3 linked regions of the Xenopus tropicalis genome follow. The protein of the gene in region 1 purifies or fractionates together with the protein of each later gene. This does not show direct contact. Links are inferred from orthologs where the notes say so. Each region holds a gene or a part of one and is shown on either strand. Other genes may lie near its edges. The genes, in order: prdx1, prdx5 and uncharacterized protein LOC100170420.

Evidence for each region.
Region 2: the proteins of prdx1 (region 1) and prdx5 fractionate together in Homo sapiens (co-fractionation; 3 studies listed by BioGRID). This does not show direct contact. The link is inferred for Xenopus tropicalis from reciprocal best matches to the Homo sapiens genes PRDX1 and PRDX5.
Region 3: the proteins of prdx1 (region 1) and uncharacterized protein LOC100170420 purify together in Homo sapiens (affinity purification with western blotting; 3 studies listed by BioGRID, with this or other methods). This does not show direct contact. The link is inferred for Xenopus tropicalis from reciprocal best matches to the Homo sapiens genes PRDX1 and TXN.

The regions. Positions count from the first base shown.
Region 1 is NC_030680.2:90,370,356-90,374,590, reverse strand, and holds the start of prdx1 (peroxiredoxin-1), read right to left. Parts: upstream 2,819-4,235; 5' UTR 2,796-2,818; exon of another isoform or gene 2,685-2,795; intron 1-2,684. UniProt on the Homo sapiens protein: Thiol-specific peroxidase that catalyzes the reduction of hydrogen peroxide and organic hydroperoxides to water and alcohols, respectively.
Region 2 is NC_030680.2:34,742,913-34,747,124, forward strand, and holds the start of prdx5 (peroxiredoxin-5, mitochondrial), read right to left. Parts: upstream 2,855-4,212; 5' UTR 2,780-2,854; coding exon 2,768-2,779; intron 223-2,767; coding exon 88-222; intron 1-87. UniProt on the Homo sapiens protein: Thiol-specific peroxidase that catalyzes the reduction of hydrogen peroxide and organic hydroperoxides to water and alcohols, respectively.
Region 3 is NC_030677.2:116,011,486-116,015,610, reverse strand, and holds the start of uncharacterized protein LOC100170420, read right to left. Parts: upstream 2,856-4,125; 5' UTR 2,818-2,855; coding exon 2,794-2,817; intron 1-2,793. UniProt on the Homo sapiens protein: Participates in various redox reactions through the reversible oxidation of its active center dithiol to a disulfide and catalyzes dithiol-disulfide exchange reactions.

The sequences.
Region 1 (4,235 bases):
CTCTGCTGAAAATCTGTAGATTCAACAGAATTCTACACAGCATCTCGGCCTTTTCCTGACTGAGGGTCAATATCTTGCAGTTGATCTCTTGTGATTCATATTCTGTTTCATAGATACCATGAACAAACATTTACAAACATGTCATAGAGCATGGAAGGTTTTTTTAATAACAGGAAGAAATTGGTCACATTATTCTCAGGAAAAGGACTTATCTGTAAAGCACCAGCTATTTTATGTAAGAGTGTGTGTAGTTTACAAAAATAAGGCATCACTTTTTGTGCAAGTGCAGTTAGAACAACTTGTACATATAACCTGAATCAAGCTTTTGGTCTGAGCAATTCAGCACACCGCATCAGCCCAATATGAGGGTTGGCTGCAGCATGGGTCTGACAGCAAGAGATGGAACACATGTATTCATATTCAGAAGTCCATGGTTTGATTTCAAGGTACACTTGTGAGGATGCCAGAATCAGCAGCTGCTCCAGCTGTCTTGCACAGAAAACATATACAGTACGTGATTAAGAACCTGCCTTTTTAACTTACCAGGGAAATGTAGAAAGAAATTGTACAAAGAAAGTGCCAAGAAAGTAATGTGCTGCAGCTAACTAAAGCCGCCGACGTTCAGGTTCAAGTTCATTGGATGGTGAATATGGGCTGATGGTTAACTACAGCACCGTTTCTGATTACACACAACCTGTAAAATGTCTGATCATGATCAGATCATGTCTGATGAAGGGGCTAATAAACACGCAGGGTTAAACCTGCTTGCAAATGACCTGTTGTGTCAGTTCCTTGAGAAGCTTCTACCAGATCACCTGTCTCGATACCTGGCACACATATTGACCTTACAAGTGGCATTTTAAATACACTTGATTGTATGATATGCCCGAGGCTCTAGAGGAGTAAATAAAGCATTTTGGCAGTTCATTCAGAGGAACATTCTGCATGTTTCTTTTTTTCACTGTCCTGTGCAGCATTTCATGTTATGGGCAATAAGGCAATTATATCTGCTATGAATTGTGGCTGCTGTGTGACAAACATGTTGGCTGTGCCACATGCACAAACGTAGTGACTAGTGCAGGTATCAAAATAGCTCTATATCCTATGTATTCCTAAAAAGAAATTCTCTCTTTTCAAATCTGAAGTCTACATTGCCAATGGCTCTTATTCATTTCGCAAGATTTCTTCCTCAACATCCCCAGACTCATATGGAAAGGGGAAGTGACAAGTCAGCGAAACATAACCAAAAATCATTTCTTTTTACTCACGCCAGGAAAATTATACCCCCACCCCACCCAGAGATGCTATATTAAACTCACTCTTAAAGGGTATGCACAACCAAGCCTGGATACCTGTTTACACGTGGTGAGTTTGACAAATCCTTTTAAACCATTGTAGATACAGGCCACCATCTTCCACTTTCAGCCATAGAACAACGCATGGAAATGTTAAAAGCAGATCTTAAAAGGAACAGTAAAAAATGTATATATTTTAAAGAAATTAAACTATAATGTATTGCTGCCCTGCACTGGTAAAAATTGTATGTTTGCTTCAGAAACATTACTATAGTTTATATAAACCCTGGTGTGTAGCCATGGGGGCAGCCATTCAAAAGAAGAAAAGGCACATGTTATATAGCAGATAATAGATAAACCCAGTAGAATACAATGGTGTCTTATCTGTTATTTGCTATGTAACCTGTGCCTTTTCTCCTTTTTTCCAGCTTGAATGGCTGCCCCCATGGCTACACAGCAGCTTATTTATATAAACTATAGTAGTGTTCCTGAAGCAAACACCCCAGTTTTACCAGTGCAGGGCAACAGTATGTTATATTTCAACTACTTTAAAACACTTTCATTTTTTGGTGTTACTGTTCCTTTAACCCCTTTTTCTGCTAAAGAACACTAACCTTCCTACCACTGCCACCCTAGCTACTATTGAAAGCACTGACAAAGCATCATTTTTGTTGGCCTGGTAAAAAAAAAAGTAGCTAGGCGGGAACCCTCATACAGTACGTGCCTCTACTAGTGTTCCTGAGCTGTTATGGGTGGTGGAAAGGTTTCACGTCGGGCAGAACCCTGAATAACTAGTCATCCCGCTGAGGCAGGGATATCCCACACCCTCCAGCCTCACATGTTCTGCAGCACTCGTCACTTTTCCTTTTAGAAAGAAGCAAATCACTAGGCTGCAGGGAAGCCCGGACAGAGAGAAAGCTAGGGAAGCCAGACATTGCAGAGGTTAGAAGTTGTCACGCATACGCAGAGGAAGCTGGCGGCAGGGAGTGCTCTGTGTAACAATGGGAGCTCTGTCAGAGGCGGCACGGAACTATGGGATATAACCCCCAAGAAGAAATCACAAGAATGATGCAGGTGCAGAAGAACTAGTGATGGTGTCATTCATTCTAAACCGGGCCCCAAACCGCGCTCAACCCAAGTTCAAGGCTTTTCAGTATAATCCCACCAAAAGCCCCCACCGGGTTATTACGCAAGAATGCCCCATCTGTTACTGAACTACAACTCACTACAGCATGCGCAATGCTAGGAGTCGTGCTCCCATTACTACTAGTGACCAGGGTTTCCAGGGCTACATTGTGAGCTTTATAGTATGGCAGAAGATAATGTAGGAACACAATAGGGAGAACAATAGGAAGCAGATAGGCGCTGATATTTCAGATTTCAACTTACAGAACTTTAACTCCCGTCACCCCCATCACAACAATAATAGCAGCCGGAAGCGATGGAGAGGCCCTGCTAAAGATTAGGAGGGAGATGTCGCGGGCAGAATGTGTAACTTACATGGCTGTGGCTGTTCCAAGCAGATCAGGCAATGCAGGAGGAGACCGGCACAGCCTTGTAAGTGCTTTATATTCAGCAAATATGGCGAGCACCGCCCGCTCCACTCCTCCCCTCCCCTCTCCTTACTGAAGCATCTCCTGTCATCTTCTGCCTTCCCCTCATCCCCTCCCCTCGTTACTTGCGGCTTTCACACCTTCTCCGGGGAGATTCTCATGTCTATTTTACTCGTCGCACTAATTAGAAGCAAATGAACCTTTAGGCAACTATATAAAGGGTGTGAATAAAAAAAGGTATAACGGGTTGGGGCAGACTTTGGTGTTTTTGTGAAGAAGAATAGTTGCAGTTGCTTCTGTCTGAAAGTAAGTTTCCTTGTTTTCTGTGCTGAAATGTAACACTACATGCCTCAAGCCTCTTTCTTGTTAGCTACTTCTAGGGCCACCATCAGAAACACGGAAGCATCATACCAATAATTGTGCAGGCTGTGCCAGGTACAGTGGGCCCAAGCACAGCAGGGGTTCCAGTGGTGCACTGCCTGCCCAGGAATGGCGGGGGAAGTGGTGCAGCTGCTAAGTCTCAAAGTAAAAAAGTGTTTTTGTCCAGCATCCCCAACAGGGAAGGGGTGCAATTTTCTACCCTGGGAGATCAGCCCAGGCCATTATGCAGAAAAGCAGCACCAAACTACAACTTTAAACCACCAGAGCTGGGCCAAGCTCGCCTGGCACCAGTTGCGTAACTATAAAGGAAGCAGAACTGGAACCCACTGCTTTAGGCTAAGGACTCATGGAGCGATTCAGTTGCCCACAATAGATCTCTGCTTTCACGGCCAACTAACCGCTCCAAAATGGCTTTCCACCTGCAAGAAAACCTTCAGAAAATCAAAGCAATGTGAAGGGCTTTCTACCGCCAACCTATTGTTGCTGGTGGAAAGGCATTTTGGAGCAGTTCGTCACCCACGATAGCAGAGATCTTTTGTAGGGCATCAGCCTAATATTTGTATGTATCTAGCGCCCCCCGCCATTGCTCCCTACGCATGTATCTAGCGCCCCCCACCATTGCTCCCTACGCATGTGCCTCTTCTGCTTACCTCTAGTTCTGGCCGTACCCACCACAATACTTCACAGTTCGTATCTGGTTCTAGTATGTATGTATGTATAACTTTATTTATAAAGCGCTACTTATGTACGCAGCGCTGTACAGTAGAATACATTAATATAAACAGGGATATTAAATGCAGTCAATGCAGTAAAATGCAGTCTTTTGGTACTGTTGTGAAATAACTTTGCTTGGACTGTACAAAACACATCCTGGTTTTTGCCTAGGTGTTTCATGAGCAACCTTTAGTCTTGGAAAGATGTTTTTTCTTGACAGCAAAGTTTTCCACTTAACACCCCCCCCCCCCCCCCTTGTAGATCAAATTTGGGATCTAATTTGTAATGTTAG
Region 2 (4,212 bases), about 56 Mb from region 1:
AAGTAGGCAAATATAAGTGCTGTAGGTCACAGTGGGTGACACTACAATATAAGTGCCATTTCCCTGATCATGCTTCTCTTCCTTTACCTTGGAGCAGCCAGGAGTGAACGCCCCCGGGACACCAAACAGCACCCCCTTCTTGTTAGCAAACACATCTCTGATGCTGACCTTGTTCCCAGGCCCCCCCTCATACACCGTCACATTAGGAAGTTGATCTCCAACCTGCAAGTATTGAATAAAAAAAAAACCCCAATGAAATATTAATTGTCTATAACAAGGAAGTGTACAAAGTTGTCTCAGGGATTTGCCCACAACCGAAATCCATTGTGTAAGTAATTTCCTTTACACGACACTGGAATTTATTAAGGTGTCTCTTCCTCATTGCGACATGTATAAGATTACAGTTACCAGCTTTGGGTAACAATTAGCAGTATCAGGTTGCCACGGCTTATTTTTCTTTCAGTGTATATGCAATTACAGTAGTCCTTCTGTGACAATACACTTATACAAATGGCAAGCAGCTTTAACAGGATGGATCACTGCTCCTAAATAATGAATGTATTCAGAGTAATGGATATTTCATGCTAATATCATAATACTACACATATTAATCTGAAAATTATAAGAAACAACTATATGTTCCTAGCCTTGGGCACATATATGTCCCCTGCAAATAAAGTATATATTGAATATAGACCAACATCACACTAGCCTATGTCTCGGCAGCAAACAGGTGTTCAGGGAAGTCTGACAGGTGGGTGCTGTTACCTGGCACCATGCAGGGAGAGCAAAGAGGGAAGCCTGTGAGCATAAGAATAGTGGATATAAGAATAATGGATTTGCAGCAGGGTCAGAGTGTTGTGTGTAAGGTGGGCTGATGTACTGATGAAGCAATACAAAAATTAGGAAAGTATTGAATACCAGATCTGATCATTTTCAGATTTAGAAGACTCCTTATTCCTGGCCGAACTGAATCCAAACCCTAAACATCACATGACTTTAGACAATGTGACAGATGAAGGTTGATGATTATTTTTTGAATGCTGTGTTTTTTTCCAAATGTTGTTAATTACATATGCAAATTAGTGTTTGGCTTTGGTTCGGTATTTGGACAAATCTGGTGTGGTAGAGTCCCACAAACTGACATGGGTGTATTAGTAGGGTGTTTCACTTATTAACCACCTAAAGCAGATTTTGGGGGAAGGGTGAATCCTCAGCGCATACCCAACAATAAAAGAACATTCTAGGCAACTTTCCAATACACAGTCATTACACATTTTCAGTTGTTTAAGAGTTATGTGTAAATGTCACTGCTACTGAAAAAACTAAAAGTTTTTTTTTATCCCTTTCTGTTTTGATTCTCTGCAAACAATATATTTGAAATCAGTTCTCTGGGTATATTATCCAGCCTCTGCTCTGTTGCTTTAGAAGGTACCAATAACTTTGAAGCATTCATTGTTATATGTATATTGGAACATTGCTTATAACCGTGGTCCCCAACCCGTGGCTCAGGAGAAACATGTTGCTCCCCAACCCTTAGATGTTGCTCCCAGTGGCCTCATAGCAGCTGCTTATATTTGAATTTCTGGCTTAAGGTGGCCATACACGCACCGATATTATCGTACGAAACCTCGTTTCGTACGATAATCGGTGCGTGTATGGTATGTCGGCGAGTCGACCGATATCGCAGGAACCTGCTGATCGGACCAGTTGGAAAATTTTGATCGGGCGCCATAGAAGGCGCCTGACCAAAATTCTCCCTTCAGATCTGAATCGGCATAAGGAGGTAGAAATCCTATTTTTTCTACCTCCTTACCTGCCGATTCAGCCCTGAATGGTGTGTGGCGGATCTTACGATGTTTCGTGCGACCGATGGTCGTACGAAACATCGTCAGATCGCCACGTGTATGGCCACCTTTAGAGGCAAGTTCTGGTTGCATAAAAACAAAGCTTTCTGCCAGTCCACATAGTGGCTACCGAATAGCCAATCATAGTGCTTATTTGGTACCCCCAGGTAAATTTTTCATGCTTGTGTTGCACCCCAACTCAGGTGAAAAAGGTCAGGGACCCCCAGCTTGGAATCACATTTCCTTTCACTATGCAAAAAATGAATAAACATTTGGGTGGAGTTTCCCCTTAATTTTGCTTGGAATTTGGATTATCTTATTGCAGGCCCGGACTGGCAATCTGTAGGCTCTGCTTAAAATGCCATAGACACTCACTTGCTACTGGGCCTCTGTGTACTTGATAAGGCAGAGCCTGCAGTATTTAGAATCTTAGCCCAGAGCTGCGATACTGTAACCAGACTAAAATAATCATTGCCAGGAGTAATTCCCCTGTTGCAATATACAAAGACGTGGAAACCCACTGGGAATTCTGGTGACAGCAGTTTGGCTTTTCAGCATGTTGTATGTATGTGTGTGTATATATATATATATATATATATATCTTAAACTCCAGTCCTTCATTATTTTATACAACAAGTGCACTGCAGAGCTTACTATCTATTAGTTGTACCTGGGCAAGCAGATAACATACCCAAGAACAGTAAGGAGTGAAAGCAGGAGCCACAGCATGCCAGGGAAGGAGGGCACACACGTTTATATAATCTAACTCGTATTTGACAGGCTGCCCAGTAGTATGAGATGTGGAATCCAGCCAATACCCACACAGAGAAATCTCTGCCGCACACAGGACATTGCTGCCGGTTACACTGTGCCAGCGCACATACCTGCCCACTACAAGCCGCTACTCGCTACATACGCACCTTTACAGACATGGCTCTTGTTCTGCTCACGAAACTTCCAACCGCTCGCAGAGGTGACAGGAGGAGGAATGAGACGGGGAGCCGAAGAGCCATGACAACCAAAGTGGGCTGAGCCGATGGGACACGGCAATTCCGCCCCTATAGGGCAGGCAAGGACTTTTTAAAAATTCCTAGCGCGCATGCGCGCACGGACAAAGCCCTTAACCTTTAAGGTTTGACGACGCATGCGCGGGGGGTTTGTTTCGCGGCAGAACGTAGCACTTTTTCTATTCACTATTTCTTTAATGTTAGTAGTGCTGCAATTGGGGTGTAATGCCGTCCCGCCTGTTCTGTTCTTCCCCCAAATTGCATTCCGCCAGGCAGTATGGCAGGTTTGTGCATAGGGAGCTTTGTTGTTGCCGCCCGACTTTCTCTTGCGGCTCTCTGGCTGCTCGTTCTGCCTCCGTGTGTTTCAAATGTGTCAGCAGCCAGCAGCACTTTACTAGATAATCCTACTAATCGGCACAGAAATACCCGCTTCATGTAGATCCTTGTTCTCAGTGCTGAAAAAGAAGGAGAAGCGAGAGGCACACTGATATCCCCCCATAACCCACAGAAAAACAGAGGCACAGTAATACACACCCACAGAAAATGAGAAGCACAGTGATACCCCCCCAGCCAATCACAGGCACAGTGATCCCCCCACCCCATAGGCCAAAAGAAAATCCAAGGCACAGTGATACCCCCCCCCCCCCCAGAAAATCCGAGGCTAAATGATCCCCCCCACCCCATAGACCAGTGCTGTCCAACTGGCGGCCCGCAACCCCCCTCTGTGCGGCCCCCCACCTGTCTGGCTGCTTTGATGGCTTACTCTTGTGTAAGCTTTAAATGGTATCAGTACTGAGATTAACTGCCCCCCCTGCATGGTTCTCACCTCTGATTCAGGCTGTAATCCCTCTGTATTGTTTAAATATGTAATCCCCTGTGTTGTTCACACCTTTTAATCTCTGCATTGTTCACCCCCTGTAGTGTTCACACCTCAGGCTCAGGCTGTAATCACCCATATTGTTCCCCTGTTCACACCTCAGGAGGAGTAGAAACCCACAAATAATCCCTGCACACTACAAAAAGAACATATACTGAGGTGGTACTGCAATTAAAAAGTTTTTTAATATATAGTTATTGTGCAGACTGTAGGAGCACTGCCAGCATTGTGTCACTGTATGCTGCCTGTGTGTGCCATACACACAGGCAGCATAGGGCAAGCAGAGTATGGCACACAGGCAGGGTAGGGAAGGCAGAGTATGGCACACACAGGAAGAGTAGGGCAGGCAGAGTATGGCACACACAGGCAGGGTAGGGAAGGCAGAGTATGGCACACACAGGAAGAGTAGGGCAGGCAGAGTATGGCACACACAGGCAGGGTAGGGAAGGCAGAGTATGGCACACACAGGAAGAGTAGGGCA
Region 3 (4,125 bases), on another chromosome or scaffold:
AGACAACGCCCTTGGTGCTTGACAAACACCTTGTAAGAAAATACCCATGAGGGAAAATAAATGAAAGTGATTATTACTTTGACTGTTTAATAAACATGCAAACAATGTTAGTAAATTTATGAATGGATGTGTCCAGGAAACCCGACACAAAGCAGGGGCTACCAATTGCCCCTCTGGTAACCCGAATGGAAATCATCTGGTTCTGCACAGTGCTCTCATGGACCAGATGATGATCATTCAGAAATATTCACTGCTGTATTTCTGAGTGATTATCCATTTAAAAGAACAGAGTGCAATTCACTTAAATGGATTTGCTTAAATGCCAATTTGGAGTGTTTCTCTAATGGAGAATCACCCTGTACGAGTGCCCTAAAAGTACAAAAGCACTCAGTACCCAAAGAGAAAGCTAGGGAGAAATAAACAATTACACAAATATTTATTTAAAATAAATAGCTATATATATATATATATATATATATATATAGCTATCTCATCTGGCAAAAGCACCCTCATCACAAAACCCATGATAAATATATGAAGCCTATGTAGTGTAATAATTACAATCAAACTTGTACCTTTACTGGAGCTTCCCATAAATCTTCCCCAGTTACAAATCAGCGATGACTGTACAGCTGCCCAGTAAGTCAAAACTGCCCATGCCAATATATCCACTAGATACCCAATCCCCTCCCATTTATTAGCAAACCACACCCTTTCATGGCAGCTCTCTGACAACTACATCAAACTGCAGTGGCGGTGCGCAAGATAAAGGCTGGCTGGCATCCTTTAAGGCAAAGGGCTGCCATTGCTCAACAGCCTGGGAAAGTGCCCAAGAGATGCTGAAAGGCTTGGCAGCATAAACAATTCTTAAATCAGTTTTTATTAAAACAGTGCACAAAAGTTTTAAATGAGTTTTTCTTCTATTTTTGGTGTATAATACCACGGCAAATACTTATTACTTTTTCACTATATGTCATCTTTAATAGACAGTTGCCCATTAAAGCTAAATTTTAGTATGTTATAGAATTACCTATTCTAAGCAAATTTTCAATCGTCTTCATTATTTATTTGTTATAGTTTTTTTTTTTTTTATTATTATTATTTGCAACCTTCTTCCAGCTCTTTGCAGTTTTCAAATGGGGGTCACTGACCCCAGCAGCCAAAAAAACCCCGATTGCTCTGTGAGGTGACAGTTTTATCGTTACTCTTTGTAACTTTCTTTTCTATTCAGGCCCTCTCCTATTCATACTTCAGTCACTTATCCACACCACTCCCTGGTTGCTAAGGTAACTTGGACCCTAGCAACCAAATAACTGCTGAAAATTCAAACTGGAAAGCTCCTGAACTGAAATATCTAAAAAAAACTACAAAAAAAAAATAGAAGAAGACCAATCGTAAATTGTTTCAGAATATTACTCTCTATATCATACTAAAAGTTAACCCAAAGGTGAACAAGCGCTTTAAGCGAGTCTTCTGGTTTCCAATAACCATGAATGAGGCTCAGGAATGTTAGCATTATTTGAGAAGCAAATCTGTCAAGCAGTTCAACTTAACTGTGGAAAATGATCCCAACAAATTAACATCTATGAAAATTCTATGGAAAAACTGAAGTGTGTTCTTAAAATCATTCTTTCTTGCATCCATTCTTATCTTAATAGAGGTGAAATTCTAATCCAACTAGTTCACCCAACCTGAGCCAGTCACATCTGAAAGTACCCTTTTTATCTCCATGAGGCCTAAACCAGAAAATATTAAACAGGATGAATTTTGAGCAACATAACCTACTCAGTTTCAATTATACAACATTTTCTTTTATTTCTTTTAGTAGGGTATGTTGAGAATGCATGGGAGTATGCAATTTTTAAGTCTTCTTCTAGATAGTGTGCTACTCGGTAGCAATTAAACCAAATGCAGGTTAAAAGTGAACCCTTGAAGATTTAGATATTGGATTACAAACTGGCCTAACAGTGTTGATGTTGATTCTGCTTGAATCAACATCAAAATGCAATCTCATCCTGTCCTGGGTCAGCTGATTAACCTCTTACATACTGACTGGCATTATCACCCAAGCTGTATTTCTTGTTAGGAAGGTCAGCGCTGGTGTACTCATTCAAAACACTTGTTCTGAGGACCCTGATCTGGAGCAGTGTTAATATTAGTCTTTTAGAAAGAAGTCAAATTAATGTGTGTCGGAAAGCCTTAACTAGTTAACAGAAAATGCTGCAATAGTGCAAAGTTTGCCCCAGGTAGAATACCCATAGCAACCAGTCAGCAGATAGCATGCATAGGTCTACTGCAGTTTGAATAATGAAAGGAAACATTTAATAGCTTGGGGAGGGTCAGAAGCCCTAAAGCAAACTTTGAACCTACTTTTGCTTTGGTTAGTATGTTCTTTGTATTTAGCCACCCAAAGTGCAAAAAAAACCATTTTGAAATGGGTAATATACGTAGACTACTAGTTACCTAGCTATTTTACATTGGGTCAGTAATTAATTTAGGATGAGGGTTCCTTTAAGTGCTGTAGCAGCCACTCTTCCCCTACCTACCACAACTTTAATAATCCGAATATAAACGAATAGGAACATCTGAATGAATGTTATTTTTGGGTTAGTAGAATTCAAACGGAATGTGTTGCTCATGCTGTTTGCATTTGCCAGCCATGCTGAATAAGGATGCACTAGCTCCTCTGTCCCCGTTTCCCCTCATGCTAAAGGAAAATAAGAAGCCTGTACTTTCCAAGCATCTTTCTCAGTCAAGCAACTTACAACGTTCATGATACAATTAATTGCTTACCAAACTTTCAACGTGTCGAACCATTTTGGACAGTGGCGACGGCCGACTTCTTCAAACTCAGCGTGACACAGCAAAGCACTAACCTCAGGAGATAAGTCTAGCAATTACCGGGAGGGGAGGGGCCCGCGAATGGGCGGGGCTAGTGTATAGCGTATACAACAATATCTTTCTATTCTAGCAAAGTAAAAAAAGGCGCGGTCTAGAGCGCAATGGGCGGGTCACTAAGCTATCCGAGCCAATAAAGAGAGGCCAGCGTTGTAAAGGCGTGGTCAAAATCAGCGCCTTCACGTGAGGACTACGCACAACAAGGGAGTCTGGGCAATGGGTGCGGCTAGGGACCACTGGCCGCATTATGGCGTCAGGGGAAGATGGCGGTAGGATATTCCGAGAAGAGGGAGTGGACTGTAGGAAATGCGCCAAGTTCAGTAAGGCTAGAACAGCCTCGTGTGAACTGGGACAAGTGGGAGGAGGCGCGTATAACGGTTCCTAGCGAAGGGGCGAGGTTAATAGCAGAAAATTACTCGTGACTTGGTTCCCAAGGCGCCTTGTGTAGCTTAGTGCCCGCTTTTGTTGGCGGATTTAGAACGTGGCTGCTGCTGCTCGCCTCGGTGTTTTATAAGCAATAAATGAATTGGTACTATAAGATTATTCGGGTTTAGCTATGGTATGAAGTTAACTAACTGAGGTCAAAAGTAATAGCAACGTGAGTTAAAATGAAATACAGGAGTTATTTATTCCTAGAAAATGTCATGTGGAGAGTCAGAGTTCAGTGTGGGTCCATTCATGTCGGTAGTATAAATGTTGTTGCCAGTGGCTAATTTTTGGGTACATATATTTTTATTTTCTTGGGAACCTAAATAGAAATTAGCTGTATCTATATTTATAGGGGGTATCTATACACTTTCTTTTTATAACTGTCCCTGTTTAAAAGGAGCAGATAAAAGGTTATAGGGTTGCATTTTTTATATTTGCTGATGTTATTAATAGCCAAGAAACATAAAAGCAAGCAAGTAATGGTATAGGAACCCTTATCCAGAATGCTCAGGGCCCAGGGTATTCCGGATAAGGGGTCTTTCCTTAACTTGGATCTCCATACCTTAAGTCTAAAAAATCAATAAAATATTAATTAAACCCAATAGGGTTGTTTTGCATCCAGTAAGGATTATTTATATCTTAGTAGGGATCAAGCACAAGATACTGTTTTATTACTACAGAGAAAAAGGAAATGAGTTTCACAATTCTGAATTATTTGATTAAAATGGAATCTATGGGGGACAGGCTTAATGTAATTCAGAGAACAGATTTCCAGATAAGGGATCCTATACCTGTTCA